3 linked regions of the Lytechinus pictus genome follow. The main gene of each other region encodes a partner of the protein of the gene in region 2 in a complex. Links are inferred from orthologs where the notes say so. Each region holds a gene or a part of one and is shown on either strand. Other genes may lie near its edges.

What was found.
Region 1: general transcription factor IIF subunit 2-like (region 2) and DNA-directed RNA polymerases I, II, and III subunit RPABC2-like share a complex: the UniProt entries of both Homo sapiens proteins name them as parts of the TBP-based Pol II pre-initiation complex. The link is inferred for Lytechinus pictus from reciprocal best matches to the Homo sapiens genes GTF2F2 and POLR2F.
Region 3: general transcription factor IIF subunit 2-like (region 2) and general transcription and DNA repair factor IIH helicase subunit XPB-like share a complex: the UniProt entries of both Homo sapiens proteins name them as parts of the TBP-based Pol II pre-initiation complex. The link is inferred for Lytechinus pictus from reciprocal best matches to the Homo sapiens genes GTF2F2 and ERCC3.

What each region holds. Positions count from the first base shown.
Region 1 is NC_087248.1:11,113,992-11,117,749, forward strand, and holds the start of DNA-directed RNA polymerases I, II, and III subunit RPABC2-like, read right to left. Parts: upstream 2,227-3,758; 5' UTR 2,127-2,226; coding exon 2,101-2,126; intron 1-2,100. UniProt on the Homo sapiens protein: DNA-dependent RNA polymerase catalyzes the transcription of DNA into RNA using the four ribonucleoside triphosphates as substrates.
Region 2 is NC_087260.1:10,631,694-10,635,451, forward strand, and holds the start of general transcription factor IIF subunit 2-like, read left to right. Parts: upstream 1-1,529; 5' UTR 1,530-1,654; coding exon 1,655-1,714; intron 1,715-3,758. Other genes in the region: esterase LipI-like, read left to right, coding at 1-247. UniProt on the Homo sapiens protein: TFIIF is a general transcription initiation factor that binds to RNA polymerase II and helps to recruit it to the initiation complex in collaboration with TFIIB.
Region 3 is NC_087257.1:8,963,956-8,967,713, forward strand, and holds the start of general transcription and DNA repair factor IIH helicase subunit XPB-like, read left to right. Parts: upstream 1-1,340; 5' UTR 1,341-1,426; coding exon 1,427-1,454; intron 1,455-3,758. UniProt on the Homo sapiens protein: ATP-dependent 3'-5' DNA helicase/translocase. Binds dsDNA rather than ssDNA, unzipping it in a translocase rather than classical helicase activity. Component of the general transcription and DNA repair factor IIH (TFIIH) core complex.

The sequences.
Region 1 (3,758 bases), on a different chromosome or scaffold from region 2:
GCAGTTTAATTATGGTTATATGCAGGTTCTGAGCATGTATCAATATGTTTCAATCGACACATATGAAGTTTATAGATAAAAAATAATGTCTTAAGAAGCAGGCAGTCTTTGATAGAGACTGGTGGATCAGATACAGGAGGAAGAAGTACAACACAAGTGAACAGAGTAGGGTTTGCTGAGTTATAAGAAGAGATCACATCTGGGTAGTCTTTCAGAGATTCATTGAGTAAAGAAATAAACTCAAAGCGAATTGAGTTGGAATGGGGACATGTGGCGATAAAGTGTTCTACTGTTTCGTCTGCACTATGACAGTGCTGGCAGGTTGAGTCAGCGGTCTTAGCAATTTTTTTCAGTCTGGTTTGAAGAAGGTAGGTGGAAGAAAGAAGCTGTGCTCTCACTGTCAAGGCCTTTCTAATCAAGGAGGATGGAGGGTTTCTTGGGTAGAGGTCCTTGACGTCCATAGGCAGATTACCTGCCCAGACTGAAAGACTGGCTTTCAAAGGGATGGTTTGCTCTAGATCCTCATTGACATTTCTCCTCGTTGCTATGTTGATGGTGCGCTTCCAAGTGTTGTATTGAGGTGGATCTGTAATTAGATCTACAAGTGGTGGGAGATGATATTTGGACAGAGTATCAGCAAACATCCGGATGGTTGGAGTTGTTTTCTCTGAGGCATGAAGAAAGATTCTAAACTCGAACCGACAGCGATCAATAGAAAGAATTGACCCAAGGAGGAGGAGTCTGTCCAGTTCTATCTGAGCAGACACTGGAATCAAGTCTGTGAGAAGATACACAATTTCATCGGCTGAAGTGATTGGTACTCCTAGGATCCTTTTGAATAGCTGAAGTTGTGTTTTGTTCAGTTTCTTTAGCATTGCCTGGGTGAACTTCAGAGTAGCACAGCCATAGAGCATACGTGGGATGCAGTAAGACGTCCATAGGCGGGCAGTCACTAAAGGCACAAGACCCTCCGAGTATGCACCAGTTCCTACCATTGCATAGAAGGTGTTCAGACCTCTTGTAGCGATCATATCAGATTGGTCTGATTTCGTACTGGTCTTGAGAATTCCTAGATGGGTGTGTGAATCTGTCCGCAAGATTGCATCATTCCCTACTGTCCAACTATCCTGGTTACTGGCTTTGCGGGGATTGGTGACCACGATAGCACTCTTAGATGGGTTGATACGATAATGCCAACAAGAAGCATATTGGAACGTCACTTCAAGCATTTGTTGTAATTCTGAAGGGGAGTTGCTTAGGAGAGTGATGTCATCAGCCAGTGCAATCACACCTGCGTATTCCGATCGTATGAAGGTGCCGAGCCCAAGTGACTTTAGATGTTTTATGAGGCCATCAACGAATACGGTATATAAGGTGGGAGAGAGGATACCACCCTGCCTGACCCCTTGAGTGATAGGAATGGGATCTGACACATCTCCATCCCAAAGAACATGGCTTTCCATCCTTGAGTGTAGATTTTGTATGAGACGAACAAGGGAGATGCTTATCCCAATGGACTGCAACTTATCAATTAAGCCTTCATGCCACACACAATCGAATGCTTTCTCCGCGTCAAGATAAGCGGTGTATGTCGGAAGTCTCGAAGCAGTATTGAGTTCCAGAATAAGTTCAAGGCACAGAGATGTTAGCATGCATGAGAAACCTTTCCGAAACCCAATACGTACGTACGTACGTAGTATAGTAGTAGTAGTAGTACCAGTAATGCATGTACGTATATAATAGTATGGATATATCTAGGCTATATACCATTGAATTAGTATATAGCTATAGGTCTTGACATCGTTGTGTTGGCTGACCAACGATTGGGTAGTGAGCAGTGTCGGGGTATTCTGCAGTTAAGCCGAAAGACCCTTTCGTGCAATCGGCCCCTCGACTCTGGAGGATCCAGTGGATACGCAGAAAAACCACACACCAAATTAAATATACGGGACTGTATTTAACATGATTACAATAATGCTTAATTCAGCCGCATGTGCATGGGTAAATAAAGCTACAAAGTACGAGATACTATCACGATAAGTAACACAGTTATATCAGTCACATAATTTCATATGGAATACAATTTAATGATGTTCTTACTTCTCGATATCTTCGTCGTCAGCCATTGTTTTGTCGGCCTTTTATAGCTTGCTTGGCAAACGTGAGTGATCTCCGAAGTCCAAACGTATTACGCTAGTATACTTCGGATGAGAAAATATGAGCCAACTGACGCCAGCGCCACCCGTCCGTCCGTCAGAAATAATACAGGGAGATATTAAAGACATTATTTTGTCAGTTAAAATTCAGAAGATCAGGATGAAAATAATGATAATATTGATAATAACCACAACACAAATAATAATTATGTTAACAATGACATAAAGAATTCATATATGATCATCATTATATTATATATATTATATACCAGGTACATTTTTTTTTTGCTTTTGTGCTTATCATATATTAGACGAAGAAGAAGGATATCATGCAAGGAGAAGAAGAGGAAGGAGAAGAAGAAGAAGAAGAGGAGGACGGAGAAGAAGAAGAAGAAGACGGAGCTTGGAGGCGGAGAAGAAGAAGATAGAATAGGTTTATGCATAGTCGCATTTTGTTCAATGATGTATTGTTCTATAAAAAAATATGCCCATATGAGTCAAAAGTGGCCATGAGCACCTGCCTCTATATATAATAAACGTGTATATAATTGCTACGAAATTTGTTTTCCCCTTTGAACATGTTGAAAGTAAGTGTTATGATACGCCTATAAGTTCGCGCTTTGCGCTCGAGGCTGGGCTGAAATGGGACATTTTTGCGTAGCAGTCTGATCTGTCAAGCAGGGTCATGCATGATTATCACGTAAATATAGGCATATAGGCCTACTATAGATACTGAAGTTTATTATTAAGTCTGCCAAAACATGATTTGAATAGATAAAGAAATATCAGACAAAAAAAACATGACATTTTTATCAAAATCAGACAAGGAATAACAAAGTTATGACATTTTAATGATTTTGCATTATTTCGGTCAAACAACAGTTCTGGAAATGTGTCTTCATGAATATTCAATGAACAAACAGATGATGTCATAACCCCACTTGTTGTTTTGTATTTTATTATATGAAATTATGTTTATTCAATTTTCCGCCAAGAACTAAAAAAAGTTGGATCGACAACTGATTTAATGCATTGCTGCATGCAACTTATCATAGGTAGACATATCATTCACACTTGTATGAAGAAATAAATTATTTCCGATTTCATGTAATAACATAAGAAAATTTAGGAACGTGGGGATGTGACACCATCAGCCCACCCAATAAATATTCATGATGACGTGCATAATTGTTATCACAAAATATTGCTAAACTTTAAAATTAAATAACCTCGTTATTAATTGTTATCGGATTTTGATGAAATTTTCAGCATTTTGCTCGGTGAATATCACTATATTTATATTTTCAGCCCGGGTTAACCCTTTAATGATATCCCTGTTCATTATAGTTTTTAGATTTTTAGATATATATATATATAAAATTGATTTTCAATTAATTTGGTGAAACATTGGAGACCTCTGGGTTAAATTGGACTAAGACGTATAAGTATCACCATGGACCTACTGGTATTAGAAATACTGCTCACAAAGTGATTGATAATAAACAAGTGGAACGCCTCTGGCAGTCTCGCCTGCATTACGCGATTTAATATAGCAGCAGTGCTAACTTTGAAAACTACAATAAAATAATCACTCACAAAAAT
Region 2 (3,758 bases):
GTTCTCGCCGATCCTTCGCGAAGATATGCGAGGACTGCCGAAAGCCTACATCGTCACCTGCGGCTATGATCCCCTGCGCGACGACGGAATATTCTACTATCATCGTCTAAAAGATGGTGGTGTCGATGTGGACTGGGTTAACTATGATATTGCCTTTCACGGCTTGGATTGGTATTCTCCACTATATTCAGAAACAGGAAAGCAGGTGCAGGAAGGATTTATCAAATTCATCAGAGTTAACATTTGATTTATTTTCCTGCGTTTTAATCTGCAATAATTACCAGCAGTATCTGGTTGATTATACTTTTTTTCTCAAGTGCAATTAATTTCGTATTGAAATGCAGTCAGTATTCGTCAAACCTAAATCATACACGCGACAGACGAGTCATACCTCTAACTACATATTGAACAAAACTTGACAAATTGTATTTATCCAAATCATCGTTTTTAAATGAATATATTCAAATGCTTGTCTAGGTTTAATTCGTTTGTATTTTGAATTAGATCGTACTAATTGATTCTTAATGCCACTTTATATTGTTAATCTAGCAGAATGTGTTTTTATAAATACGTGAAATGATTTTTTTATGTTTACGATGGTATATTGTATTTCTGTACAGATTAATCATGATTGTGTAGTTGCCCAGGTACTGAAGAGTTTAAATCAAATTGTTACAACAATAGAATGTTTGTTCTTACTTTGTGTTTGAAAATAAACAGATAACGAAAAATTATATAAATTAGAAAACAGAGAGAAAAGCAGACATGGTATGAAAGAGGGGGGGGGGGGGTCGGCGAAATTAATAAATAGTAAGCATAATAAAGAGAGAATGGGAAAGAATTAATGGGTGAAAATGAAACAAACAAAAGATAGAAAGTAGGCTAAAAGAAAGTAGGTAGGTATGTTGATAGACAGGCAGACAACTAGATAGCTAGGCAGAAGGCAATAAAGATAGATATGGGCCGACAAATTGAAAACATATTACTTGTATTGTCTCTTCTATGCACTCATTGTCATTTTCCTTTTGATGGCGACCTCAGCAATCTAGATTACAACGAGCCCCTTATATTCTGCAATACGGAGGGTACTGAATAGAAGAAAGAGAGGGGGAAAGATGGACGGAAAAGGAGAACACGAAAGATTGAAATTGATGGATATTGAAGACCGAAATCCCCAAACTATTGCTTCCTCAATGGGAAATGAATGGGTTGGACTGATGAGAGAGAGAGAGACGAGTGAGGATCAAGGGAAGGAATATGAAAGGATGAATTATTGATCGAGGACAAGATGCGTAATTTCTCTCATCCTTCAATCCATGTCTATGAACAGAAACAACAATTAAATTCATTAAATCGATGGTAGCTCGAAAACCAACTTTTTATCTTGGCAAATCGGTAATATGACCCACGGCCCACGACATGACCCAAGACGAATATTTGACGCGCCGCGTCTTTCTCATACGGCTCTGCGTCGAGAATGTTACTATACTCACGCCAATCTGGGGTATAGCGCCATCTGCGGCGAGGTAGCAGCGATGTATTTATATCTTGCAGAAAGAGTCGGATAATCTTGCTTATTGTAAATTATTCTGTCGCAGTAGCCTTACGAACTAAAGTCCTTTTCTACTTTTATCAAATTACCAAGGTCATTACGATGACGTCCAAGATGGAGCTCGACTTGACTGCTTCTGCACGACCGATTTGGCTGGTCAAGGTAAATAAAAATTAATAATCGAGTCAATTTAAATGGCAGTGTCTCAAAACAGGTTACAGAATGGTACAGGTGGGACTGCAGTGTACTGTAATCTTTTTCAAACAATAAAAACAAGTGCTACAAATTACAATCCAATCAGAGCCAACCGCGTAGCCAGGATTTAATTTTGGAGGGGGCGGTAAATGCATGCGAAGCGTGCCAAAACTTACAAAGCGCGCTCCCTAGGGCCTTAGGAGTTAGGGCATAGGGGGGAGGTTACTGCGCCTGCGGCAGCCCGAACGTCGTGTCGAGGTCCCCGGGGCAAGGGGGGAGGGTGCAGGGAGGTGCAGGGGGGAGTTTTTGATATCTCATCAAATTTGAATCAAAAGAAGATGTCTCTTGCGTCTCTAATAATACCCTTATCAATTTGACTTGCTGTGATTAAAAACAAAACCTGTTTTCCAAAGAAAAGATGAGTGCCCCAAAAATGGGACAAGATTGAGGAATTCCAAATAATTCCTCTTACCGCGCGAAGCGCGAAAGCTAAGACGTTTTATTAAAAGAAATTGAGAACAGAAGTGGTTTAAAATGCCTATCTTAGACTTTAGTCACCAGATTTGATTGTAAAAACTTTAACCACATTATATTTCTTTAACTCACAAAACAGTAGATGCGGGTATATGCAGGGAGGAAATATTTCTTCCCGCGAATGGCTTGAAGCTCTGAATTTTAGAAATTTCTTTGAAACTTTAACCTGCTCTAATTTTGATATTTCTATAAATAATACAAAGAAAAATGTAGCTCAAAATGTGAAAGGGATGATGCAAGCTTGAAGAGGGACTTTTCCTTTCCCATGCACGCGAAGCACGGAAACTTCTGTGAGTTATTTTGGAAGAAACAAATTTGTGTAATTTCGCTCATAATATTAAGCGCTTCCTTTTGTATGATTAAGAAACTTCTGTGATATTCAAAATTTCAAATCAATGGCGCAAAACAGGACATGAGATGGATGTGCAGCGATATAAATTTAGAATAAAGTTTCATCGTACCAACGTTTGCATATAGCACGGCACGAATTCAATGCTCCCCCTTTGAGCAGATACTTTGCCAAAATATTGCTTGCTGAAATGCGGAAGAAATAGCATTTGGGGACTTCGGGATCGAGTGACAGTATAAAAGTTTACCCACTCTGAACAGACGAGGAAAAATTTGTGTCAGCGCAACTGAAAAAAATACTTCTCATACTCCTTACACCCATGTATACTTTATAATTTCTGGCAAAAATGCGATTCCCATGGCCGGGAAGGAGAAAAACGGAATAGAAAAAAAGGTGTGGGAAACAAAGGGCTAAGGCAATTTTGATATTTTTCCCGCGTGGAGCGCAGAAGCAAAATTTTGTGTGAAGAGAGAGAAGAACATCTCGTTTAGGTTTTTATTCTTTTGACAAAAAAGAAAGAAAAAACAATAAAGCTATAGGCTATACCCTTCTTCCCTTTTCTCCCTTTTCCCCTTCTTTTTTTTTCTTTTTGGGGGGCGACCGCCCCCCCTGGCTACGCGCCTGATCAGAGCGCGAACTGAACAATACAGGAACTCATTCTTCCCATCCACTATCATTGAGTGGAATTGCCTGAGTGACGCTGTCATCAACTCAACTCTTGATTTCATTGTCTTTCGCTGGGCGAAAGCACGGAAATCGCACGATTTGCGTGCTGTCGCCAAGCGAAATCAAAATGGTGACGTAAACACGGTGGCAAGTTTTCCCCGTCTTTTCATTACATTTTTCTTGTTTTTTAAATAAATTCTTGTTTAAAAATGAAATCAATAGCGTAGAAATGTCGGAAATGAAGTTGTATCCCATACCGGGTACATGATTTAGGGCTAGATCTAGATCTTTTAGAAGGAAAGTAGAAATCTCGGGGGCGAAAGTTTCAGGTTTTTTGGCAGTACACGGAGATGAATGGGAAGGAATTTCTGGCTCCGTTTAGAGTAAGCATACATTAGTAAATGATTTTTACTCTCTAGGAGCCTCCTGGGGCCCGTTTCTCAACACCGTCATAAGTCTAAC
Region 3 (3,758 bases), on a different chromosome or scaffold from region 2:
CATAATTTGCAAAATCATCATTATATATATGTATTCTATAAAAATACAGAATACTGAACTAATCAAATGTCGAAATTACTTAGTTAAATCAATTTTATGTCAGACAAGGGTCTCTTTCGTTGAAATATCAATGAAAGGTGTCTCTAAAAGGACACCGTGTTCTGAATAAGGGAAATAATGATAATTTCGATCTTATCCAGTTATGTTTGTGAATCTTGAATTTTTTTCTCTTTTTACCTCATAAATTAAGCTCCATGTACATCAATTCTACAATCAGTAATAAATAAAATATTATTTGATCCCCTTTTATTGAAATATATGATTTTATGAAAAGTCGTCATTCCGAAATAAAAGGTTCAGGTGACGATGAAGACTAAATATTTTTCCGATACTATCGATATCAAACGATGTCGCGGACTTGAAAGACAAAATTGCCTTCGTGAAACGGAAAGCGCTGATTTGTCACCAATCTTCCTATCTCGGAAGAATGGTCCTAGGACGTTCCTACGTATCGCTCATCTTGTCATGCAACAGGCCCCATGAGGCATGACAATGTATGTGGATTGTGAGGATGGAAAGAAGGATGAGATGAGTTGGAATGGAAATAAACAAGTTGAATGTAAACAATAAAGTATGGAAAGCCAAATGCAAGAGTACAGATTAGAGAAATAAACCCAGCAAAATTTACTGTTACACTATGACGTACAATATCGCACAATGTCAATGACTGGAGGTAATCATAATTATATTGTATCTCGCTATATCGATATATGACAGTTCAGACTAGTCCAACGCCAAGGACATTCATTTTGAAGCGGGAATTAAGCAACTCGGAAAAGACCTGGCGCATAATCTACTACTAACTAGTACTAGATTGAAGAGCGCCAACCTAACTCCAACACCAACCAACCTGTGCAGGCCAGTTGACATAGGCATAGCCATTGGCCATCCATCCATATCCTCACACACACATGTGCGCGTGTGGGAACTTGCTGGGATGGGAGACGGGCCCAGCCCAGGGCAGCTAGCTTGCGGGTCGGCCCGGGGGATTCAAGTGGTAAGCGCCGATGCAGCTGCAGGACAGACCGCGTGCTCAGGCTCAGCATGCAATCTGATTCGCCCACGTTTTCATTTTCGACTTTATCTTGCAAATGTCTGCTTGATCTTATGCAAAAAATATGGCATGCCACAACTATTATTGATTATGACTTAAAAATGTACTTTAAATCTGATATTCTAAATTCCAGATAATGCAGTTTTCTCATTGTTATTACTCACTGGTTCAGCAGCGCGGTATCTCGCTTGAAGTTGTACCAACTCGACTCTTGCGCAATACTGGCGACAGTTTTGGCCGTAGGCAGGCGCAGGCGGTTAGGGGCGGTTAGACATCCACATTCTGAAATATATCAACAATTTTCTGAATGCAATGGGAAAACGGGATCGTAAAGACGGTGGTACGTATGTCCCATTACTTTTCAAGAATACTATGATATTACTTAGGTATGAGAAAATTGTCGGTAGGCTTTAAAAATCAGCACTTTTCCGTCACTTTTCGGGAAGTGCGAAAGTGGACTTTACTTTAGGCCTAGTCCCTTACATAGAGAACCGTGTTATACGCTTGGAATGCGGATAGAAACGCGCAGAATCCATTGCAATAAAGGCGTGTGCGATTATTGCGCCTGCATGCTACATGGGCTAAACACGTTTTTGTGAAGCTGTGTATGAATTTCACATTGACTCAGTCGCCTGATATAGGCAGTAGAGGCGCACGGCCAATATGGGAGACTCTCTCCAATAGGGGAGACAATCTCCCACATTGGAGACTTGCTTTGCAAAAGGACAAAAGAAACAACACCAACAAAAGCATGATTTTTTCCACCCAAAATTTTGTCTCACTGAGGTCAGAAGCCCATTTGTTTTGTGTGTGATTGACAACAAAAATCCTTATCAAAACAAAAGTAGACGGTGAATTTTTAAAGTAGATGGTAAAAAGGGGCAATTTTTCATGAGGAATCTGCTTATCACATTTTTATTTGCCGCCAAGGTAATCCTTTTGCAGCAAATGTAAACAAAGGAAATTGGTCTCCAAAACTGGAGACTGTCTCTGAATTTGGATACCCAAATTCTTTACAAAAGTCTCTGATATTGGAGATAATCTCCCACATTGGAGACAGTCTCCAATATTGGCCGTGCGCCTCTACTGATAGGGGAGCCGGGAGTCGCATCTTGTTCATTTCTTGTAACACAGGTCAGCAGGTTGTCACAAAAGGAAAAGAACTCTTCTCCCAGAGTCACAGCTCTTTAATTATTCTTCACCCTAAGCCTAAATCATGTAAATGGGCATGAATGGGCATGATGGGATACAACTACAAGTAAAACTTCATTTCCGACATTTATACGACATTGAATGATTGATGTCATTTTTGTCTCGCCTGCATTGCAGAGCGAGACGATAGGCGCCGCTTTTCCGACGACGGCGGCGTCGTCAACATGGAATTTCTTAACCAATATGACCAAAGTTAAGTTCATACATTAAAACATACGGGTAATCAAGTATTACTGAACATCCTGCCTGAGTTTCAGGTCACATGACAAAGGTCATTTAGGGTCAATGAACTTCGACCATGTTGGGGAAATCAATATCAAAATCTTAACCAAGGTTAAGTTTTTGAAATGTCATAACTTATAAGTATATGGACCTAGTTCATGAAACTTGGACATAAGGTTGATAGTGTATTACTGAAGATCCTTCATGAGTTTCAGGTAACATGACCAAGGTCAAAGGTCACTTAGGGTCAACAAACTTTGACCATGTTGGGGGTATTTGTGGAATTGTCATCATAACTTTGACATTTTATGGATCTAGTTCATGAAACTTAGAAATAAGAGCAATTAAGTAACCCTGAAAATCCTGTGCGAGTTTCAGGTCACATGACCTAGGTCAAAGGTAATTTAGGGGGCAACGAACTTTTATAATGTTGGGGTTATTTGTGGAATTGTCATCATAACTTAAAAGTTTATAGATCTAGTTCATGAAACTTGGGACATAAGAGTAACCATGTTGTCAGGCACTCAGAATAAAAAGAATAAAATTACTGTATCAAATTGAAGTACTGGTTTATTAACATAATAATCAGTCTATTTTTCAAGGTTTACAATACAATCATCTTTATCGTTCACTCTTGTGACGCTAGCATGCAGTATCAAATCAGTTACAAGACGTGAAATAATTTTACAACCAAGTGTAAAGTGGTAGTGAAACATATGCAATCTCCAAGGGTAATCTGTTACAGATTTGGGTTTGCAATTTGTTCTGATTGTAATACAAAGTGATTGCCCTTTAAAACATTTCACAATAACTACCGGGCCGGTATGGTATAAAAATCTATTCCAAGTAGGAAAGGGTTTATGTAATGTCCAGTTCAAAGGGAAGAAGAGAAATGCTCACTGATTCAAGTTCAGGTGTAGTAAGTTCATGGTAATCAACTGCTTACCCGGCCAGTCAACTAGACCTATTCATTTTACCGAACATTTCACTCGTTGACAAAGTGGATCTTAATCCTATCGTTTTATGTTGGTAGATGTCCCCATGGTTCCGTGATCCGTTGAAATATGGAGCACTTGTAAACATCCCCCTCACTCAGGTTGGGGCCACGTAGCAGCAGGTGAAATACACCAGTTTGTCCACAAAGATTATTATATTGCCCCTCCAGAACGGATGATACGGAAGGGTTCTTCCGGGAGTTTGCCCATAAATT